Linked DNA regions of Xenopus tropicalis. The protein of the gene in region 3 purifies or fractionates together with the protein of the main gene of each other region. This does not show direct contact. Links are inferred from orthologs where the notes say so. Each region holds a gene or a part of one and is shown on either strand. Other genes may lie near its edges.

Region 1 (3,654 bases), on a different chromosome or scaffold from region 3:
TATACCACTAGTTGGGACATGGGACATTTTAGCAATTCAGACGTCAGTAAGCTGTTATCTTACTACTTTCCCACTGTTCTGATGATCGGCTGCGGGGTGGGGAGTTGGGGGGGCAGTGAAGCAGTAAAGAGAATTTATTAGCGCACAAATCACATGGCTGAGGGCACCTGAAAAACTAAGAACAAGTCTAGCCCCATGTCAAAATTTCAAAATTAAATAGAAACAAAAATCTGTTTGCTCTTTGGAAAAATGGATTTCAATGCAGGATTCTGCTGGAGGAGTGATACTAAATCATGCATTTTGTAAAAAATATGTTTTCCTATCCAGAATCAATTTAAACAATGACAATCTTTAAGATTTTCTACAAACAGAGAGCATATAATTCTAGGCTTACCTCCATTCAACTTCCAGGTCTTCACTGATACTTGAATCATCCTCCAAATTGTTATTGCCATCTAACATGAAAAATCCAGGATGCACAAACTGGTTACTTATTTCATTTTCTTCATCGGTGCTGCTTTCAATATCCTCATGGTACTGCAACCAAGGGATTTCTCCATCTTCCAAGGAAATTTGTTCCCTAAAAAGGGCATTGGATACTTTTAATAACAAAGAATGGTCACAAAAATCAACTTTGAACAAAAAAAAAAACCCTTAGGGCTCGTAGACACGGAAACAATAGTCATGTGTGTCAGAGGTGCTTTAATTTCTCTTGAATGAACTGTAAATGCACAAATACTGTGCAATACAAAGCCAACAGCTTTAAAATATGCCATTGCCAATACTCACTGGGACTTATTTATAAAAACTGGGCATATTTGGCCAGTAACCCCACAGCAGCCAATAGGATTTTTGCTTTCACTGTTCTACCTGATTATTTTCATTGCAGAGTATTCTAAAGCTGGCCATTTACACACTAATATAATTGTACTAAACAACATTTTGTGTGATTTTTGGACTGTGGTGTTTAATCGTTGTTCAGCTGACTGGACAGGTTAGAAAATTTTGTTCATTTAACGATAAAATCTCTGCATGTATTGTGTATCTGACGATATCCTTGGGTGACCTACAATGCATTTCTGGACCGTCACTTTCATGCGATTATTATCTGCTAATTATTTTATGTTCAGAACATCCACTTATTTGTTATTTTTAGTACTTTAGTCTACAATTTTAATCTGAATGTTAGTTTTAGATTGTTGCATGTAAACATACAAACGTTCTTCGGAAGAAGACTTAAATCTGAGTAAGGCCAGCTTCAGAAAGAAATTGTATGCTCTATGGACTGTGACTGACTCCTCTTGTTTTTGTTCCAGGATCTCAAGTCAGTCCAAGTATTGACTTTTCTGGACCATGGACCCTGTATGGACTATATTTCTGATAATCTTTGTAACTGAATTAAAAGGTGCAATAAAAGACTGATATTCAGCGGGAAGGCAAAATATGTAAACAATCTGGTGTACAGTACAGACATTTCACTATGTCTACTGTAACTTTAGATCGATTGTGTCACTTATGCGATATAGAGTCACAATGTTTTGTATTTGTAAACTATTTTTAGTTCACTATTTTTAAAGCAGACTTGTCTAAATTCCTAAAATGACAAATCCCCAGAGGCCATGACAAAAAAATATTACTCTGTAACCAGAAAAACTGTGCCCTTCGTTATAATAGCATTTGGGAAGAATTGTGCTTTAAAATGTTAACTTAAAGAAATTCACTTTATAAAAACATTTGTCATAAATTGCAATACTCATGTGAAAAATACAAGAGCTATTGGACAAGAGCTTTTCAAACCTAAAACCTATAAAAAAACCCCCACCTAAATGCAAAAGTATAATGATCAAATAATGTTTTAAATGTAATGCTTTGAAACAGGTCTTGTGGTAAGACAAAATATTGCTTTACAAATTGAATAATGTCTAAAGAAGCCTACAATCTGCCGTGCCCAGCACCAACAGCTAAATATGGAGATGGATGTCTGATAGGAATATGATTGGGTCCTATTATCACCTTTCACAGTGCGGTTAAAACATTTAACTATGTTGACATATTAAGCAATCATGTGCATCAAAAGCACTTTACTAGCAACAGATGCTATGAAAATGATAATTCCTCTATAGCAGTGTTTTATTTTGGTAAAGGGAACATTAAGACAATGTTTAACAAATCCTGTAGCAAAGGCAATATCCATATTCTTACTGAGACATAAAGAAGTAGAAGGAAGCTATTCTGCTGAAAGAATGTCAAATCCTCCTTACAACACAAATAGATTTCATACAACATGCTGTATGAGGGATGATTAGCAGTCAAATACTCCATTGTTATAAATTTCAATGTTTTAAATATTTTTCTTGCACCTGCATTTCACACCTTAAGCAAACCATTAAAAAAACACAGTTTTATGATGGTGTTGGCTAATACCATCCCTATACTATTAAATAAGATTTTTTTTCATGTTCATGGTAGTGTCCATTTATACCATCTAATTAACACAAAAATCAACTTCAACAGTTTAAAAAAGGTTAATATGTTTTAGAGCAGTATCCTGGTTGTGTGTAGTGATTATAACACTAATGGTTTTTCCAGGATTGCTCTAACATTGCTGTTTGGCTTTCAGAAAAATCATTATCCATATAAAAACGATTACAACATTACATAAATATTCATTAAAAAAAAAATGAAGAATACATACTCTACTTGAAAACAAAAGTCAGAATTTTCTTCTTCCAGACTACTGCTGTTACTAAGAACTTCGTGTTCATCTTTTCCAGGCAGTGTTTCCCAGCTATCATCACTTGACGAATGGTCTTTGTCCGAAGAAAAATATGAAGGCAAGCATGTAGACCATTCTCCATCACTGCAGACAGAGCTGACATGAAGTAAAATTAGCTTTTTTTAGTTCATTACTTTACTAGCAGTGAAACGATAGCTTTATTTTTCCAGTATTTGCTTTTATATATTAATTAGTATTGATTTTGGAATTATAGGCACATTATCCTTAACAGCTTTGGGCCGTGAAAACAACAAGAGGTCAAAACAGTCCTCTATTCCAGTAACCAATTAGAATAATGAAAGCAAGCGTCTGATTAGTTGCTGTTGGATATTGAACTGGTTTATAGTTTGACCATTTATTCTTCCTTCAGGAGTAAAGCATAATTAGAAACTTCTACTTCAAAAGTAAGTGCTTTGTAAACCCAAGCAGTCACACAACCCCATTAAATGGTAATTTGTCCTTCACAAAATAGCTTCCTTGACTGTGTGGTTTCCAATAAAAAAATACACTATAACCCATATTAAACCAAAATGATTCCACTGCTTCATTCTAAAGCGGATATAGAATTTAGTATGCTAGCATAAAGTATATCTCTTTGGTCTGTCACAAACAGAAACTGTTTTTTTGCAACAACTTTGCTCAACTATAATCTGAAAAAGGAACCAAATGGTATACACAATGTAATGCCTTCTTCTATGAACAGATGTCTGTGGCAAAGATGTAAGCAATAAGTAATCAATGTCACACAACAGCTTGCTTTCTACAGGAAACACCATGAATGCTTCACAGAATAACTACACTTAGGGGCTGATTTACTAAGACACGAATTCGAATCCGAATTGGAAAAATTCCGATTGGAAAACGAACATTTTGCAACT
Region 2 (3,654 bases), on a different chromosome or scaffold from region 3:
AGCATGTTATAGTTAATGAATTATTTGCCTCTCTCATTGGCCTGTTTCCAGCTTGCAATTTAATATGCTGTTGTGGGTTGCTGACTCTGGAAGCCAAAAACCTATTGCTGTATGAGGCTACACTTGTGTTACCTTTTATTACTTATGGTTCTATTTAGTCCCTCTTCTATTCATCTCATTCCAACCACTGACTGGTTCCTATGGTAAAGTGGACCCTAGCAGCTAGGTTCCACACTGGAAAGCTGCTGGACATAAATCCAAACAATAAAAACTGAAGACCAATTGCAAACTGACTCTTTTAGTATCTGCCTACATTAAAGTTAATATATAAGGCCAACAATCCCAAAAAAGCTGGATCTTATTAAAGGGTACTAAACTGTAGTAGATGTTTAATCAGTATCACTTTTTTAAGCTTTTTCCCAGATATTTATTGTTTTGTGATTTTTTTTTTTTACCTTATTTCCTACTGCAATAGGTCACAGACTGACTTTTTGGTCTAACGATATTGTCCAGCACGGATGGTTTGGAATGCCCAGTCAGTGTGAGCTAGGCTAATGCCAGACGGGACAGATTCTTGGCCTGCGGATAAAGACAAGTCGAGAACCAAGCTCTATGCTGGCATCAGCCTGTCCCTGCACCCGGAGCCATTGCAACAGCCCAGGGCGGGCCACATGGAGCAGATTTCAGTAGCGAAATGCATATTTGCACATTTCAGTGCTAAAATCTGCTCCAGCCTTGCTAGACATACATCTCGAGCTTGTTTGCTGTTGTGTGAGGACTGTTAGCACATCAATGTGGTTCTCATATAATGGGATTTTCAGACCTGCCCAATAAATATCTTTTTTTTTTTTTTTTTTTTACCGGATATTGATTGGGCATGCGAAAAAAGGACCAATAAGCTGCTCAGTTTGGAGGGGCCGAACCAACAGCAATTAACAACTCAAAAAATAAAACCTATTTGTCATACATTAAACATTCACTAAAGTTTGTGTATATGTTTATAGCCAGGCCAGTTTCCCCTTAATAACAATGACCTGCTAGCTTAATCTACAGTACAAGGAAGAGCCATACATTTTTCAGGAATCCATTTTGTTCTTTACATGTTGCCCTTGCCCTGTATATTGCTTTGCATAATAATAACTAGTAGTTCTGAAGGGCTTAAGCCTAAAAGGCCCATATGTTCATCTTCTACTGTAGAATTAAGTGCTGATGTGAATATCAAATGTTCAGTTGACGAGGATGTTTGTTTCAAAGTTACATTTCCATGTAGATGGTAGAAATATGGGTATTAGAAAAGTGCTTTCTATTATTATTAGGTTATTGCTGAGAAAAAGCACTATTAGAGCGAGTTATCTCAACCAACATGGAATAAAATCTGGAAGAGTCTGGAAAACCACAGATCCAAAGATCCAGTTCATGGCGAAAGCTTTTCTTGCTGCCCAACTCATAGCCTGTAGAAAAACCACTTTGCTGGTTGGAAATGCATCTCTCTTAATATTCCCAGCACAGATAATAAGGATCTGGCTGGAGAGAGTCAATGATAGATCCCAAATACACCATTACCTGTCCTGGTGCAGGGGGTTAAGTCCATTGAGACTGAGGAACATCCTCACAACCTGAAGGAGTAAAAGAGCAACGTGCAGAACATGCAAGCACGGGAAGGGGACAGTATTTACATGCCCCTGATAACAACGTGACATGCTTGTCTCTCTGTAGCTGTGCAGCTATCTGTTACGCGGTACTGTAGTGCTTTTGTGTGACCAGCTAAGAATTCCCAGAATTCCACTCCACCCAAAGGAAGCGAGTCCATCTCCACCACCCAAACGCAGACTGATTTGCTTTGGTTTATCAGTGAGGAATTCAGATGTCCTGTCTTTGTGCATATTTGACAATGAGTTTACATTTCTAATGATGAGGGAGTGTTCATCTGTACCTGCGCGCACACACGTGCACCACAGGAAACATACTCCACCGAACACTTTATTCTTTAATACTTCTGCAGTACTTATGATATTGCACCACTAAAACTGACATATGTTAACCCCTTCTGCTATGAGAAGGCTTTTGAGCCTTGTTATCAAAGAGCATCTTCAAATGAGCCCTAGAAACACACAGGCAAGGCATGAATTTAAGGCACCAGTAATGGTCATGGCTAAAATATAATATTCCACCGGAAGAGCCAAGCACCTTCAACAACGTGAGGGTAATTCAGTGTGAGCATAATATCCATTCTGAGCTCTCACACATACACAGGCTGGCAGCCTTCTGACTCCCTGGAGGCATTTTTATCTTCCTCCTCGGTTTCCTCGCACGACGAGGTCTCTAATTTGGAAGGCTTGGGATACCGAAAGGGGTAGCCATGATCATCGAAGAACCGTCGGAAAGTGAACTCATAAAAGGCATGCTCGGTGTGTTTGTTTCCTGAACTCATAAGAGTGTCCCAGGTCACAGTGCTGTCTCCACTGTCATTGCATGGATTTTCCTCCTCCACCGGGTCAAAATTAGAGGTATCCATTGGGTGACTGATTTTCGGAACATAAGGTGCTGGTTGATGTCTAATATCAGAAGAAAAATCCATTGAGATAAAGAAGGGGTGGGCCTTAATTTCATCTGGCCCATTTCTTCCAAGTCTGTCTTCAGCCCCGCAGCACAACGCTGTGATCAGATTGGTCGCCTCGGGACTCAGGTTGATCTGGGAAGGAATGTGAAGGGTGTTCTCCCAATGTATGACCTGGAAAAGTAAACGGATTGCGGTTAGAGCAAGAAACAAAGAAGCAGTAAAGGGTGTACAAAAAAAAGGTACATTTTAAAATCATATACACTGTATATGTCAAGGCTGTTTTTTTTATTTATTTTTTTTGGAGAGTGATATTACAGCTATAGAAAACTGCAGGAAAACAGCTATTAATTATATAAAAGGCAACTGGCTCCACTGTAAATGGTCATGTAAACAGTAATGTTAAAACTACCCTTTTTATATTATATCATTATATATTGGGGCCTAATTAGTTTTGAGTGGATAATTAATATGCTCGATGGGAAAACTTAAACATCACCGTACTAAGGCTGTAAATCTGAGGTCGGAGGATATATGGTGGACTTTTATAATTAGGCACTTAAAAAGAATCTTAGCCCATGATGTAAGCAAAAAACCCCTGCACAGACCCCTCTGCCCAACCAGACTCTCCCTACCTGAGCAGAAGAGGCAGAAAGGTGTATCTGGGTTGGCAGCTGCCATGTCTGGTTGCATTGTGTCCTGCCCCTGGCTCCCAGGCACTGATCACTTAACAGGAGCATGTGTAGTAGAAGCCAATCTGTTGCTTCTGGTGTGCATGCTCCTGGTCCTAGATCACTGCCACAGACATGGACAGGAAGCAACGCAGTCATTTCCTGGTACACGCAGTGCTTTGTGTGTTAAAAATGGCAAAATACCTGCCTGTTGAGTGTACAAGAGGTTTACTTGTTCATTATGTTCATTTACGCAGCACTGTTGCAAAAATTATCATTCCATTCCCATCAGTCCCTGCCTCAGAGGCAGAGGTCCTTGTCACAGTCACACACTATGGGGCACGGGGAGAACATATACAAGAGCAGAGGATGCCCCGCCCTTTCCCTAAATACGTGCTGTAGTGTGGATGTGCTGGAGGAGATCAC
Region 3 (4,180 bases):
CTATCACACAACTTCTGATAGAAAAAAAGAGAGGTCAAATAGCATTTATGGCTCTCTATTACAAATTTTACAAAATATTAGTAATGTAGAATGCCTAAGGCAACTGGCAAGCAAAAGCTAATTGTGATACTGGCTAACTTTTAATTATATTTTTGCGGATAAACGTAATCTATATTTTCTTTACAACACATCCAATACCCCTATTTACACATATTGGACTTGCACACAAAATACATTAAGCAGAAAAAAATAGCAAAAAATACACAATACCATCAAAGCTAACAGTCACAACAGTAGAGGCAATATAATAAGGCAGTGCAATCTAAAAGCAGCACCTAAGAGTTTAATACATAACAGTAAAATGCAATGCAGGCAAACAAGTGAAGAAGGAAGCAGACACCCTGACCAGAAAAATGTGGATTACCATGAAGTTCTGGCGTAAAAACTTTATCAAGGGGAATTCACAACCAATACAGCTAAGCTGTTTCTGTGTAAAGCAACACATAAGGCCAACAGCATATGGGAAAACAACTAGACTGTCTGCCTAGTATTTTACTAGCTATAAACGATCCAGACAATCGCCCAATGTGCCATAGGCCTAACTGTATTACAGATATTAAAATATTTTATTTTACCAGCACCAGAATATGGTGTTTACCGTTTCCTCAATATGTAATACAGGTATGGGATTCATTATCCGGAAACCCCGTTATCCAGAAAGTTGCAAATTACAGAAAGGCCATCTCCCATAGACTCCATTATAAGAAAACAATTCAAATTTTTTAAAAATGATTTCCTTTTTCTCTGCAATAATAAAACAGTACCTTGTACTTGAGCCCAACTAAGATATATTGCATCCTTATTGCAGCCAAAACAATCCTATTGGGTTTAAATGATTTTTTAGTAGACTAAGATGTGGTGATCCAAATTACAGAAAGATCCCTTATCCGGAAAGCCCCGGGTCCAGAGCATTCAGGATAACAGGTCCTATACCTGTACACACAAAGTAGTTTATCTGTGGCAATAAGTCTGGAAACATACAGTTCACCATTTCAAGACTACAATTGTCTAACAAGATGTACTGTTGGGTGATTAATAATTAACACAATGTCTTAACACCACTAGAGCTTATAAACTAACTTCCCTACCCAAATTACACAAGCAATATTGTCAATTTCATTAGAAACCAAAAACATATAAATTATACAAATAACAGATTAAAAAAAGAATACTAAAAGGTGGGTGTTACATCGTATGTATGTTTATACAACAGGGAGTTAAAATAATAATAAAGACAAAGTATAACAATAAATACAAGGTACAGTTTCAATAAGTTAAGAATTACAGAGACAAGAGGATGGAGGTCCCTGCTCCATAGAGCTTACAATCTAAATCTACGTTATGAAAGCCCCTTTAAAACTCCCTTATACTTCTACAAATCATGTTACTATAAATGGGCAAAAAGACTCCTTATGGCTGGTGATGGACTCTTGGTGTGAGTTAAGACTAAGGCATGCAACCACAGTTCAGTTCCATGGCATGCTACATAATGTCAGTAACTAGCAAATCTATCAACAGAAAACCACTCACTTGCTGACCCTCTTACCTACCCTTACTGATCCGCTTGGGGCCATGACAGTACCAAATAAAACTAGTTGTTAAACTGGTAATAGGAATATTTGCACAGGTTTGTTTAACATGCATGAAAGCTCTTGTCCAAACATTGTCTCCTCTAAAATAATGTCCTCAGGGAAAAAAAAAAAAAAGTCAACTAAACATTTGAAGAAAAAAATCTCCTTGTAACATTATAAACCTTGTACATCTTACGCATGGTGACTACACAATAACCTCTTTATTAACCCCTTTACTCGGTGCCAAGCTGGAAACACTAATTTTTCCCTCAATTTAGTAAGGTAATCTTTGTGAACCCACAATGAAATCAACTTCGTAGATCAAAAATTGCCCAATATAAAAAAAAAATATATACATATACACAGCCTGCGGCATCAGCGGGGGGTCATTTATGAAGACTGGGCAAAGAGAAGCTGCCATTACTCTCTACACTTACTATTAACTGCAATCCACTCATTGAGATCCTCCCCCTCGGGCAGCATTACCGCTTGCCTAAGGTTGCCGCTCCCGAGCGTAGCCTCCGCATGCTTCAGCAGCTCGTACTGGTGCGACCCCTCTGGGATGTTCTTCTTTGGTTTAAAGGTTTTTGAGGATCGACTGCTGCTGGGGAGGAAAGTTTAGAAAGCGTCATCCTTTCCAGATATTTATTTAGACATCTGTAAATATCCAGTTTAAACCCTGTCTACTAACAGCACCCTGCCTGGCCTGGGGTTGGAAACAGGACTTGTCAGTTCAAGTACAGGAGTCCCAAACAGCCCAACCAATAGTGACTGTCTGTGCAGCAGCAGCTGGCCACAATCCAGAGCTTGCCAGCCCATGCTTGCCCTTACATCGCAGCTACACTGTCACCCCCATTGCTCTATGCATATAGCCAGCTGATGTGTGCAACTCCTGTGTGCAACTGCCAGGCTCCCTGCGTGAGGAGCTCCCATTACAAAGGGGCTGACGTCTACAAAGTGCAGCAGAATGTCAGCCCTGTGTAAATAACAACAAATACACCCCCAACATTCCCCTCTTCCGCTTTGTAAGAGTTGTAGCACAACAGCGGGAGTCAATCCGGTAGGATACAATAAAAAGTAAGTTGAAGCGATGTCTTTTCCGCTTCGCTATAAACTCCCTTCCCACGGAGTCGGGGCCTCCCCTTACTTCCTTCCCCCCCTACTTATCCATTCCTCGTCTTCCCTCTCGCAATTTTAGCCCCCCCAAGACTCACAAGAGGAAGCTCATGTTGGCCGGGGGATGGAGACACAAATCTCCAGCCCGGGCAGCAGCAGCGGCTTCTCAATATAAGCACGGAGAACACAGGCACGAAACTCTCCCACTCCACTTCCGGCCGAGCGCGCCCACACGCTGGCTCTCGCGAGATCTCAGGGAGCGAGTATTTCCCCAGAAGCCACGCCCACTGATTTCATAGGCTGGGCCGAGACTGACATTCAGTGGGAAGTTTAGCTGGATATGTGACGCTAATGTTCTCCAAGCTGCGCCCCTATGGGTTTAGGGGACTCTGTGTCATTTTGAGTGGTCTGACAAGCTTTTTATCTTTCCCTGATACCTCTTTCTTATAATTAACAGGGAACAGTCATGAAAAATGTTTTTATCATCTTGAAAATATAAAGTCTAGGCAAACATTTTGACAATTTATAGTTTTTAAAAATGTTGCAGCGTTACAAAGTTATTGAATTATTGAAAAGCAAAATGCACGGAGCAACTCCAAACATCGCTGCATAAAATCACCGTTTATTGTAATCACTTAAGATGCAGCTTTTGAGAAAGTGGCGTGACGCCACGAAACGCGCCAAGCGTATAATCCCCATTTTTGGGACACTCATATGTATTTTAAGTGATTACAATAAACGGTGATTTTATGCAGCGATGTTTGGAGTTGCTCCGTGTATTTTGCTTTTCGATGGATCCTTGCTGTCTGGGTGTCAGCAACACGTCTGAGCATGAACAGAGCTGACCGGTAAGTGCTCACGTGATATGTTTTTGCATTGAATTATTGAAGCAGCCTTCATTGCCCCCGCTGCTTGTGATTACTCGGCGGGGGCTATCGCTTCACAAACCCCCCCCCCCAGCGAACTGCGCATGCTCGGCAAAAACGGGGGGGCGGGGGCTTGGGGGTGCATTAGCTCAGGTGTAGGGGAGAGGGGGCCAACCGGGTTGCCTAGGGCGCCCGGTCGGCTCGGCCCGCCCCTGATTTTCAGCAAGGAAAAATCACTTGCCAAAAATCGCGCCATACGCCTCCTACCTGTGCCTGCTCCTGAATGAATTAAATACGCTCAGGTGCAGGCACATGTAGCCAATATCCGCCAAAAATCTCAAGACTTCATATCTTTGGCGGATCATTCATTCAGGTGCAGGCACAGGAAGGAGGCGTATGGCGCTATTTTCAGGTTGCCAAAGATATAAGCCAAACGCCACGTCTGGCATTGGCTTTTGGCAGAGAGGCCAGAAATCTTAACGAGCGTCACCTGCACTTGTTTCTTGCTTTTAATTAAATAAATCGTTTTTGGCAGAGAGCCCTGAAAGGTAAAAAGCCCCACCTGCA

Evidence for each region.
Region 1: the proteins of mob1a (region 3) and pja2 purify together in Homo sapiens (affinity purification with western blotting; 3 studies listed by BioGRID). This does not show direct contact. The link is inferred for Xenopus tropicalis from reciprocal best matches to the Homo sapiens genes MOB1A and PJA2.
Region 2: the proteins of mob1a (region 3) and lats2 purify together in Homo sapiens (affinity purification with western blotting; 9 studies listed by BioGRID and IntAct, with this or other methods). This does not show direct contact. The link is inferred for Xenopus tropicalis from reciprocal best matches to the Homo sapiens genes MOB1A and LATS2.

What each region holds. Positions count from the first base shown.
Region 1 is NC_030677.2:173,952,947-173,956,600, reverse strand, and holds part of pja2 (E3 ubiquitin-protein ligase Praja-2), read right to left. Parts: intron 2,873-3,654; coding exon 2,696-2,872; intron 581-2,695; coding exon 395-580; intron 1-394.
Region 2 is NC_030678.2:157,816,478-157,820,131, reverse strand, and holds part of lats2 (serine/threonine-protein kinase LATS2), read right to left. Parts: intron 2,732-3,654; coding exon 2,240-2,731; 3' UTR 1-2,239. UniProt on the Homo sapiens protein: Negative regulator of YAP1 in the Hippo signaling pathway that plays a pivotal role in organ size control and tumor suppression by restricting proliferation and promoting apoptosis.
Region 3 is NC_030679.2:121,264,744-121,268,923, forward strand, and holds the start of mob1a (MOB kinase activator 1A), read right to left. Parts: upstream 2,865-4,180; 5' UTR 2,860-2,864; coding exon 2,846-2,859; intron 2,236-2,845; coding exon 2,069-2,235; intron 1-2,068. UniProt on the Homo sapiens protein: Activator of LATS1/2 in the Hippo signaling pathway which plays a pivotal role in organ size control and tumor suppression by restricting proliferation and promoting apoptosis.